3 linked regions of the Macaca fascicularis genome follow. The protein of the gene in region 2 binds, or shares a complex with, the protein of the main gene of each other region. Links are inferred from orthologs where the notes say so. Each region holds a gene or a part of one and is shown on either strand. Other genes may lie near its edges. The genes, in order: SMAD1, SMURF1 and SMAD7.

Region 1 (2,405 bases), on a different chromosome or scaffold from region 2:
TTGGGGGTGAAAAAGGCATTCTTTTCTTTGAAACCAGGTTTAAAAAGGGAGGGTCCTTAAATTTCAGGTCTCATAAACACACTCCAGGAAAGATACACAAAAATGTAAAGGAGAAAGAATGGCATCTATTGGGGCAGGAAATAATCTAAGTGTCCTTCAATCTGTGTCCCTCATTGGGAAACTTTTTTGTGGGGGAATGGGTAGTGTTGGGATCATCCCAGCCTTAAGTAGACTGACTGCAAAGGTAGTCGTCATCTGCTGCACTGTGAGTTCTCATCCCTCCCCCTTTATTACCTCCTCCCACAGTCACGCTTGTATCTTCATCTGAAGTTTAGAAATTGTTGCTTTGGTTGACTGCCTGGTACTAACCAACAAGTGCTGTTGCTATAATTTCTAGAATTAAAAAGTTCATACATGTAAGATTTTTGTAGTTTTTCTTAATTTTTAAAGGTGTACATCTCCTGTGTTTTGTGACTGAAATTGGCTCCAGTCTCTTCATGCTGCTGTGTCCAGTCTCTGAAATAGTAATTTCACTCATGTTTGGTGGAGGATATTTAAGAAAAAAACTCTCAGAAGGGTAGCAAACTTTACTGATCCTAAAATCTAGTAGGTGAACAAAGGAAATGACAAATTTTTAATCAAAGTAAGCAATAATGACAGGTTTATTGAAAATTTCCAGTAGAGAAAACCCACTAGTTTTGGAATAAAAGTACTCAATGTACGAGAGCATAAGTGAATACAAAAGATTAACAGAAGAAAGATAAAACCAAACATAGTACAAAAAAATTTAAAAAGTTTGAAATGAATTCAAACTGGGATGTTCTTTAAATCCTCCAAATATTTAACAGTTACTAAGTTTGGCAAAAAATTCACTTGAAAATTAAAGCCTATTTCTGTACTGTAAACTCCGTAAAAACTGCTTATTAAATTCAAGCACTCCATATAACTGGTATTGAAACATGTAAGCAATTTCAGAATAGCAGGAATTATTCATTTGTTCTCACAGTTACATGAATTAACCAGCTGCAGAACTGCCTTTTGAAGAGCATGAGATAAAAGAATGCCAAAAGAGAGAGAAAAAAATGATAAAAATCTCTAAAAAATGGAAACACAGCAAAATTCAGATATCAGTTTGTTTCTTTAAAGCAACAAACTGAATTTTTACAGTATAGTCTACATTTGCAGTTGTCATTTCCCTCTTCCCCCCACCCACCTCAAATACTCCTAAATTCACTAGTCTAATCAATTCTTAACTTCCAAATACTCTGTACATACATATTTAGGAAAGAGCATATGCCTAGCATTATTCTGACAGCAAGTATGGTCAGTATACAATTTTAGAAAGATTATTATGTATATCATCAAGACTAACCTTTACTGAAAACAAACAAACAAAACCATCGCTAAACAAATAGTTTTAAAATATTATGAAAACCCATGAAAAGAAGACTCAACATGGGCTCTAAACCTGATAAAACACGTTTCAGAACAACTATTAATGCTAAACTTCTGCCCAACGATGACCTTAAAGTGCCAAACACCAAAGAATCTCTTAGGACCATTTTCTAATAGACAATTTGTCCCTGGCTTGGCCATTTCTCCTTTAACTATACACAAAGTCCTGCTAAAAGTCTGCATTTTAGTTTGATTTTACAATAGAATGTTACGATGTAAACTAAACAGGTTCTTGATATCAACAGTATGTTACCAAGGTGGGTTTTTTTGTTTTGTTTTGTTGTTTAAATTTCTGAATCCAACAGTTGGTCACAGAGGTCAAGTATTATCAAGGCTCCTTTGTCAGTTCTCAATCGTGTCTGACTCATCCATCCTTCAAGTACATGCAAGGCTCAATAGTTTTCAAGAGGCAGATGCCTGGGGCCATTTAAGACACAGATGAAATAGGATTATGAGGTGAACCCATTTGAGTAAGAACTTTATCCAGCCACTGGAGGGGGCCGTGCAGATGTATCTCAATCCAGCAGGGGGTGCTAGTAACATCCTGGCGGTGGTATTCTGCTCCCCAGCCCTAGGAAAAACATACTGGAGGTCATTTAACTTGTTTTAACTCAGTGGTTAAACTTATTAAGTAAGAAGGGTTCACATAACCAAGACTCTGATTAAAGCTATGCATCTTTCCTCCCTGCCCCCCGCCGCCGGGGAGAAAAAAACACACATATACAAACACACATATAATTTGGCAGGCAATTTCAAAGGATGGATGTTAGCTCCCCAGGGTCCATCCAAGGATTCCAATAAGAATTACCAGTCTTGAGGAATGAAGATTTTAAAATACATTATAAAGTTGTCTTAATAAAGGCACTGTAAAACTTTTATTTTAATTGCCCATTTCTGATAGTAATGTAATAGCTATTATTAAATTCTCATTTTATCAAGAAAATAAAACA
Region 2 (4,188 bases):
GGAGATTAAATATTACAAAAGGCATATAATGAAAAGTTGCCCTCTCTTCTCTCTTTTCTCTCCTCTCTCCTCTCTCTCTCTTTCATCTGAAGAGGAGAACAGGAGAATCTCTTCAGAGGAAATCAACAGTCAACATCTTCCAGTCATATTCTATACAGACCTATCTATAAATTTCCCCCTTTATTTTTATTTCTTGTTTTATTATTCAAATAGCACTCACACTAGTCTCTGTTTTGAATCATGCTTCCCCCCCCACCCCCACACTCAATAATGTATCTTGGAGAATGTTCCATATCAGAATATAAAACGCTATCTTACTATTTTAAACAGCTACGCATCATTGGGGATACACAACCATTTACTTAACTAGTCGCTGCTGATACACATTCACGTTGATTTCAGTCTTTTGTAATTTCAATCAATGCTGCAATGATTTTGCATATCAGACTTGACATAAATGTGTGAATACACCCATAAAAGTCCGACATGTAGACTTGCTAGATCAAAGAGCATAAACATTTATGATCTGATAGATAGTACCAAACTGCCCTTAGTACCTACTCTATCAATTTATATTCTCAACCACCAGGGTAAAAGACCTGTTTTTCCACACCCTTGTCTCATCACAGAAAAATTTCAAACTGTTTGGTCTGCCATTCTTCTAAATGAAAAATTGTTTCATTCTTACTTTTAATTTGTAGTTTGTTTAGTATGAATAGGACTGATTATCAATGAAAAATAATTTCTTAAAGAAAGAAAATGGGCATTAGAGAGAACAGGGCACAGTGGCATATACTTGTAGTCCCAGCTACCCAGGAAATTATGTTTGTTTGAGCCCAGGAGTTCCACGCTGCAGTGAACTATGATCATGCCAGTGTCCTCTAGTCTAGCCTGGACTACAGAGCAAGACCCCATCTCTAAAAAAGAAAAGAAAAGGAAAGAAGAAGAGAGAAAATAGGGTAGCCTTTTCTTTTTTTTTTTTTTTTTTTTTTTTTTTGAGACGGAGTCTTGCTCTGTCGCCCAGGCTGGAGTGCAGTAGCATGATCTCAGCTCACTGCAAGCTCCGCCTCCCGGTTTACGCCATTCTCCTGCTTCAGCCTCCCGAGTAGCTGGGACTACAGGCGCCCGCCACCTCGCCCAGCTAGTTTTTTGTATTTTTTAGTAGAGACGGGGTTTCACCGAGTTAGCCAGGGTGGTCTTGATCTTCTGACCTCGTGATCCGCCCGTCTCGGCCTCCCAAAGTGCTGGGATTACAGGCTTGAGCCACCGCGCCCGGCCAGGGTTGTCTTTTCACGTTTCAAATCCATTTCTATTTTCTTTTATGTGAATTGCCCATATCCTTTGCCTATTAGGTACTGGCCTTTTCCTAATTGATTTTAAAGGCTCTTTATGTATTAGGAAAACCACACTTTCATTTTCATATCCATTATAGATTGTTTTTATAGTTTGTCTTTGCATGTTTTATCCTATTTTTGCCATGGAGAAATTTTCCATCCAGCTAAAGTTTTTTTATTGTTTATAATTGTTTTTCAGCTGATCTTTTGGGCTTTTAAAGATATATCATAACATCTGTAAATAACAGCAATTTTGTCTCCCGCTTTCTGATGTCTTTCTGTAGTTATTAATAGTAACTATTTTGACAGTGTACATCCCTGCATTGTTCCTGATTTTAATGGGAATGCTTCCACAATTTCATCATTTAAAGATGATGCGGGCTAGGTGCAGTGGCTCATGCCTGTAATCATAGCACTTTGGGAGGCTGAGGCAGGTAGACTGCTTAAGCTCTCGAATTCAAGACCAGCCAGGCAACACGGCGAAACCCCTTCTCTACCAAAGCTACGATGATTAGCCGGCCATGGTGTCACATACCTGTGGTCTCAGCTACTCGGGAGGCTGAGGTGGGAGGATCACTGGAACCCAGAAAGTCGAGGCTGCAGTAAGTCATGATCGTGCCACTGCACCCCAGCCTGAGTAACAGAGCGAGACCCCGTCTCCAAACAAAACAAAAAATAAACATGAGGCTGTCCCATGGCACATTACCTGGCCTGGGAAAAACATAAAATAAAATAAAAATAAAGATAATGCTGGTTTTGGCTTCTAACACTATTTCTCTAAGGAACTTTCTGAATACATAGAGAATTTATCAATTCATTGTATTATTTTTTCATGTTTATTAATCGGTTCTATAGATTTTCTTCAATATAAAAGTACATTATTAGCTTTATTATTTACCTGGTTATTTAGGAATAAGAAATAACAGGAATCTATGACCATATTAACATTGTGATACTCTATAAATAATTCATAACTACTCATTAAAATATTTAATCCATCTCTAGCAGGTCCCTTTGTAATCTAAAAAGACAGATCTCTGGCATTAAAGATAGGAAAACTGAATCAAGAAAAGATTATAGTTCTATGCACCCCCTCCCCTTTCTTCACTGTGGTACTTGTGTGAATTAGAAATCAAATTCAGACCTTCTGATCCCCAATCCAGTGTTGGAGCCATAAGAAACCATCATGTCCTTTAGAAAACTCAGCGGATGCCCAACATACAAAGAAGAACACAGGCTGCCGTCTACAATCTGCAGCTTCATGACATGCTCTTACAGACTCCTGAAAGCAAGCCCCAAGTTGGGCTCAGGAGCTTAAAACATCTGAAATGCATCATCCAGCAGCCAGGAGGATAGGTTCCTGTTCAGTGATAAACGATGTTGCCGACATTCCTCAGCCAATTAGAATTCCTTTCAGCTGCAGTGGAGGTGAACACAGCTGGAATTACAGAGTGGGGCGCGTCACCAGACGGGCTCATTGTACATTATTTAAGCCTTGTTTTAAAAGAATATAAGGGTTTTTTCCCCCCATTAGTCCAGAAATGTAGAAACAACATTCCACTTGGTTTAAATATCGAAATGAATTAAATTGCGTCTGCAGACAAAACAGTAATACTGACATTTTAAAAAGAAGCCACATGGCTATGTGCTTTTGTTTTTTAAACATAGCTCCATGGCTTTCCTTTAACTAGAAAGGCCTTAGGGACTTTAGTCAGTCAGAATGAGTTCCCTGGACAAGAAGCTAATTTAGGTTGGAGGCTTTCACTTACAAACTCACTCACAAAATAACAAACCAGTAATTTAACTTGTTCAGTGACCAAAAAAAAAAAAACTGTATATTCCTTATTTGTTTTAAAAAAAATTAGCCTCTAAAATGGTTTTGAAATTATATAAAATTGATCCAAATAAGCATCCTATAAGTTAGCTTTCTTACCCAGCAAATCAGAGCATGGCAAAGATACCAAGTTATTTCATCCATTTGAGGCTTTTTTGAACCTCACTCAATAAAATGCACAATTCAGCTATTTTAACTGTTAACCAGTGCCCACAATGTTGTACAAAACAGCCAGTCTAGTTAACTGGATCACTGAGGTGATATTGAAACATTATTTGTCTTTTTGTCTTTTTTTCTTTCTTAATCCATGAGGAAATATTTCATAAATAACACAGCCTCCAAAACCTCCTTTCTTTCACCCAATGTTCCACACTAGAACCTGACATTGTGACTGAACCAAGAAAATGAAAATTTGTGGAAGAGAAAGAAAAACCCAACATTCAGAAATGACTTTTGTATGTCGTTTAAACTAAGACTAGAGGGTTTAAACTCTGACAGATGGGCTTGAAGTAAAAAATCTTGGTTTGATAAATCACAACTACGGTAAAAATGGAGATAGAAATAAAGCATATGAAAAATTTCATGTCTAAAGTCAGTTGGGTGGGCCAAGAAGATTAAAAGGAAAAAAAAAAGTATTTGAAAAGAGAAAGTTGTTTTAAAAGGCAACGCAAATGTGATCAAATCACAAAATCAATGATAAAAACCTCTATTTGGCAGGACGTGATTCTTCTTAAAGTATAATTGCAATTCAAGTTTTGCAACAGCATTTGTTCTAACCCATCCTACACCTTCCAATAATTCAGCTCAAAGAACTGCCTTAAGCTGTGTCTTCCTAAATTTGAGGCAAACCCTAATGTAAATGCAAAGGGAGCTAAAAACTGACCACTTATTCCATCTTATCACAACAACTGTGTTATATGGTTTTTGAAACAAAAGTTTGGCCTGCCTTACATAAGTGAGGTTCTTAGCTGGTACAAATTGACAAAGTCAACAGTCTGAACAATTTTCTTAATCTTTCTT
Region 3 (4,138 bases), on a different chromosome or scaffold from region 2:
CGAGCAGAGGGCCGGAGGGGGGGTGCGGGGGGGCGGGGAGGAGGCGGCGGCGGCGGCGGCTGGGGGCGGGGGAGGGAAGGGGGAGGAAGGGGGAGGGAAGGGGGCGGGGGCGGGGGCGGGAGGCCTTGCGGGAGGCGGCGAGGTCTGGGCACACTCGCTTGCTGCTCGGCGCACTGAAGATCTTGTCCCCGAGCCGCGCCAGCCGAGCCAGCCGGGCGCCGTGCTCGGTCCGCTCGCCGCGCGGGAGAGAGCTGCCCGAGACAGAGCCAGTCCGCCGCCGCCGAGCCGCCGAACGCCCGGCCCCTGAGCCCCAGAGTGCGGCGCGGCGAGCCCCTGGCGGCGGCAGAAGGACCAGAGCGCCAGGAGAGGGCGGACCGGGGACAAGGAGGCTCCCGGGCGCGACGAGGAGAGTCTCGGAGGAGGAGGCGCCGAGAGGACACCGGGGCCTCCTGCCGCCGCTGCTGGGGCCAGGCGAGCAGCCCATGCGGGGACCCTCGGCGGGCAGCCGCGGCCAGGGGAAGGGACACCGGCGGCCCCCGCACTAGCAAGCAGCTTGTGCCCAGGGGGGGCGAGAACGCGCGACCCGCCTGGGGCCCTCCGCCGCCGCCGCCGCCGCGCCGCCCTCCCCCGCGCTGTCAGCCCCGCCGGGCTCAGCCGCCGCCGCAGCATCTTCTGCCCCTGCGCCCCCGCCAGCCTCGAGGAAGTCCCCGCCGAGGACCTGGGCCCCCAGGAGCGCAGGAGGAAAGACCAGAGACTCCCCTAAACCACCCAGATGCGCAGGATTGAAGCGGTCTAGCCAAAGCTTTCTGTGGATTAAAAAAATACACGATTTTTTTTTTTTTGGCAGAAGGAGAGGAAGACCAGCGGGGCTTTGCAAGGAAAAAAGGGGGGGATGTAACTCGTGGATACATTTTTCCACCCCTCAAACATCTTGTTATACTTTGTAAACATTTTCTTTTTTTAAACCCCAGCTCCAGCCGGACGCCCCCAGACCTCAGAGGTTCGAGGAGGTGGTGTTTTTCATTTGGGGCTTTGCATATTTGGTTGTTAGGTTTTGCGAGAGCCTTCTTATTTCGCCAGACATCTCATGCGGGGTGAAGTCCACTCGGCCCCCTCCCCTGAGTCTTCGTGTGCACGGAATTCGAGGAGATCCGGTTACTAAGGATATAGAGAAAAAAAATAAATTGCGTGCTTGCTTTTTTTTTTTTTAATTGCCTGCTTCTCCCCACCCCCAAATTAAGTTGCTTAGCAAGGGGGAAAGAGGCTTTTTCCTTCTTCCAGCAGCCCAGCCGAACGCCTTTCGCTTTTTTGCCTCCGCGGACCTTCCATGTAGGAAGCCGAGGCTGGCGAGCCCGACATTCGGGAGCCACTGCGGGGGGGCCTCTTTTTGGGGAGGCGCCGACGGGGGCAGGCTCGGCCGTCCCCAGGGAAGCGGCGGCCGGGTTCCTCCGGGGCGCGCCGGGGCCGGAGAGCCGCGCAGGGCGCGGGCCGCGCGGGGTGGGGCAGCCGGAGCGCAGGCCCCCGATCCCCGGCGGGCGCCCCCGGGCCCCCGCGCGCGCCCCGGCCTCCGGGAGACTGGCGCATGCCACGGAGCGCCCCACGGGCCGCCGCCGCTCCTGCCCGGGCCCCTGCTGCTGCTGCTGTCGCCTGCGCCTGCTGCCCCAACTCGGCGCCCGACTTCTTCATGGTGTGCGGAGGTCATGTTCGCTCCTTAGCCGCCAAACGACTTTTCTCCTCGCCTCCTCGCCCCGCATGTTCAGGACCAAACGATCTGCGCTCGTCCGGCGTCTCTGGAGGAGCCGTGCGCCCGGCGGCGAGGACGAGGAGGAGGGCGCGGGGGGAGGTGGAGGAGGCGGCGAGCTGCGGGGAGAAGGGGCGACGGACAGCGGAGCGCATGGGGCCGGTGGCGGCGGCCCGGGCAGGGCTGGATGCTGCCTGGGCAAGGCGGTGCGAGGTGCCAAAGGTCACCACCATCCCCACCCGCCAGCCGCGGGCGCCGGCGCGGCCGGGGGCGCCGAAGCGGATCTGAAGGCGCTCACGCACTCGGTGCTCAAGAAACTGAAGGAGCGGCAGCTGGAGCTGCTGCTCCAGGCCGTGGAGTCCCGCGGCGGGACGCGCACCGCGTGCCTCCTGCTGCCCGGCCGCCTGGACTGCAGGCTGGGCCCGGGGGCGCCCGCCAGCGCGCAGCCTGCGCAGCCGCCCTCGTCCTACTCGCTCCCCCTCCTGCTGTGCAAAGTGTTCAGGTGGCCGGATCTCAGGCATTCCTCGGAAGTCAAGAGGCTGTGTTGCTGTGAATCTTACGGGAAGATCAACCCCGAGCTGGTGTGCTGCAACCCCCATCACCTTAGCCGACTCTGCGAACTAGGTGAGAAGTTGTCCCCTTACCCCCAGCATTTTCCGGCGCGCCAGTGCTGGAAGAAAAGCCCTTAGGGCAGTGCGTTTGTGCAGCCACCCCTCCAGGGGGAGTGTGCATCCCCTCCTGGGAGGAGACTGGGGGCCGAAAGTAGAGAAGGGACACGGGGAAACTCAAAGGGCATTCCCTGGGGTTTCCCTTCCAGGATTTCTCCTGTGTTGCCCCGAAGGGGTCTATGGGCACTGCTCCTGCACACAGTTTGCGGTTAAAAATTAGACGCCTTCATTTCCGGATCAACAAGGGGGTGCAGAGGGAGATGGGGGGGTCACGCCTCCCCGCACCCGGAAAGGCGTTGAGGTGTGTGACCGAGTTGGATTTGGTCCAGGCCCGCCAAGGAAGGCTGGGAGAAGCATGCTATAAAAAGGCTGGAAGGTCTCCGTATTTACTCCTTCAGTAAATAAGGAGAATCACGTCGAACACAAGTGGCCCAGACACTGTCGTGGCCGCGCAGCTTTGGAGTTTTGGGGCAAAGAGAGTTGGATGGAAGGCCGAACTGGGTATCTGTCTCATTTCAACTCTGCCAGCCCCAGGGTGCAGAGGAACAAACAGCCAGGAGAAGTTGGGTGTCCCCTACTTTTTCCTTCCTTCCGCACAGATAAGTCTATAGATTAGTGGGGCCCTGCGCCTCGGTGACGTTGTCGCCCCTTACTGCGCTGGGGCCAGGGCTTCTCGGCTGAGACCCTGAAACTTCTTCCCTTTTATCCTGTCAGCTTTCTCCATTCCTTCCTTTTCTGTATGTCTCTGTACACGGAGTGTGATGTGAGGGTTCACCCCGGGCGACCGCAGATCCCCCAAGTTCACCAGCACGCTTGGGCTGCATCTCCCGAGTGCGCTGGGAATGGGGAGCCCCGTGTCCCTCGCGCGGGTGCCCAGCGGACCGGCGGGGGCGGAGGTGAATTGCACCCCTGGGGGGCGGGCCAGGGCGGGGAACCGAGGTTGCTGGGAGCTAGGTCTGGAGTCCGAGAACGGGGAGGGGGTATGGTCGCCCCCCGCCTGTGAACTGTGAAGTGCGCGGCTCCGGCTGAGCCGGTGGTTTCCAGCCGGGCCAGCCGAGCGCGGCGGCGGCGGCCGCAGACGTGGAGGAGCGGAGCGCCGAGGCTGGCGCCAGGCGGCCTCTTTTGTTTATCTGACAGCTAAATATCAAGGCAATCACCGCCTCGCGGCCCTGCCTCCAACCCCCACAGCTAAGACAAACAGTTGGGCTAAAAGAATGCTTCTGTTATCATAAGTTTCTATCTCTCTTCTCATGGCTGGGCCTTTATTTTCTCTTGCTTTTTTAATTTCAGAGTCTCCCCCCCCTCCTTACTCCAGATACCCGATGGATTTTCTCAAACCAACTGGTGAGTAGATGATTTTTAAAATATCCTTCCTATCTTAAGTTAGAAATAGAGCCTCTAGAACCTGGCTTTTTGTGTGTAGGCAAAGGCTTGGAGAGGTGCTGGACTTGCTTCACTTCACGTTGGTTCTAGGTTTCCTCTGTTGGAAGTTTGGTGAATTTTTCTGTTGTGACTGGGTTTTTGTTTTGTGTTTTTGCAAAGATGTTCCCTTGATATGCTTTACATTTTGTTCCTTTTTCCTGTATTTGCGCTCTGTAGCCGGTGGGCTCAGCTTTGATACGTGGAAGCTTTAGTCCAGAAAGAAGTGTCTTGGGAACCAAATAGGACTGGTTGATGGGGAAAACTTGGAGACTTCGTGAGTGCCAGGAGCATCAACGGCAATAATGGA

Evidence for each region.
Region 1: the proteins of SMURF1 (region 2) and SMAD1 are in contact, whole or in part, in an NMR structure (PDB 2LB1), measured with the Homo sapiens proteins. The link is inferred for Macaca fascicularis from reciprocal best matches to the Homo sapiens genes SMURF1 and SMAD1. Residues at the interface, in NP_065162.1 of Homo sapiens: Glu313, Val314, Arg315, Ser316, Arg321, Tyr323, Val325, Asp326, His327, Arg330, Thr331, Thr332, Gln333, Phe334; in NP_001003688.1 of Homo sapiens: Asp221, Thr222, Pro223, Pro224, Pro225, Ala226, Tyr227, Leu228, Pro229, Pro230, Glu231, Asp232.
Region 3: the proteins of SMURF1 (region 2) and SMAD7 are in contact, whole or in part, in an NMR structure (PDB 2LTX), measured with the Homo sapiens proteins. The link is inferred for Macaca fascicularis from reciprocal best matches to the Homo sapiens genes SMURF1 and SMAD7. Residues at the interface, in NP_065162.1 of Homo sapiens: Glu313, Arg315, Ser316, Thr317, Arg321, Tyr323, Val325, Asp326, His327, Arg330, Thr331, Thr332, Phe334, Thr335; in NP_005895.1 of Homo sapiens: Glu203, Glu205, Ser206, Pro207, Pro208, Pro209, Pro210, Tyr211, Ser212, Arg213, Tyr214, Pro215, Asp217.

The regions. Positions count from the first base shown.
Region 1 is NC_088379.1:150,444,011-150,446,415, reverse strand, and holds the end of SMAD1 (mothers against decapentaplegic homolog 1), read right to left. Parts: intron 2,027-2,405; coding exon 1,883-2,026; 3' UTR 632-1,882; downstream 1-631. UniProt on the Homo sapiens protein: Transcriptional modulator that plays a role in various cellular processes, including embryonic development, cell differentiation, and tissue homeostasis.
Region 2 is NC_088377.1:47,714,564-47,718,751, forward strand, and holds the start of SMURF1 (E3 ubiquitin-protein ligase SMURF1), read right to left. Parts: upstream 2,861-4,188; 5' UTR 2,018-2,860; coding exon 1,870-2,017; intron 1-1,869. UniProt on the Homo sapiens protein: E3 ubiquitin-protein ligase that acts as a negative regulator of BMP signaling pathway. Mediates ubiquitination and degradation of SMAD1 and SMAD5, 2 receptor-regulated SMADs specific for the BMP pathway.
Region 3 is NC_088392.1:40,812,775-40,816,912, forward strand, and holds the start of SMAD7 (mothers against decapentaplegic homolog 7), read left to right. Parts: upstream 1-1,262; 5' UTR 1,263-1,752; coding exon 1,753-2,365; intron 2,366-2,797; exon of another isoform or gene 2,798-2,910; intron 2,911-3,699; coding exon 3,700-3,753; intron 3,754-4,138. UniProt on the Homo sapiens protein: Antagonist of signaling by TGF-beta (transforming growth factor) type 1 receptor superfamily members; has been shown to inhibit TGF-beta (Transforming growth factor) and activin signaling by associating with their receptors thus preventing SMAD2 access.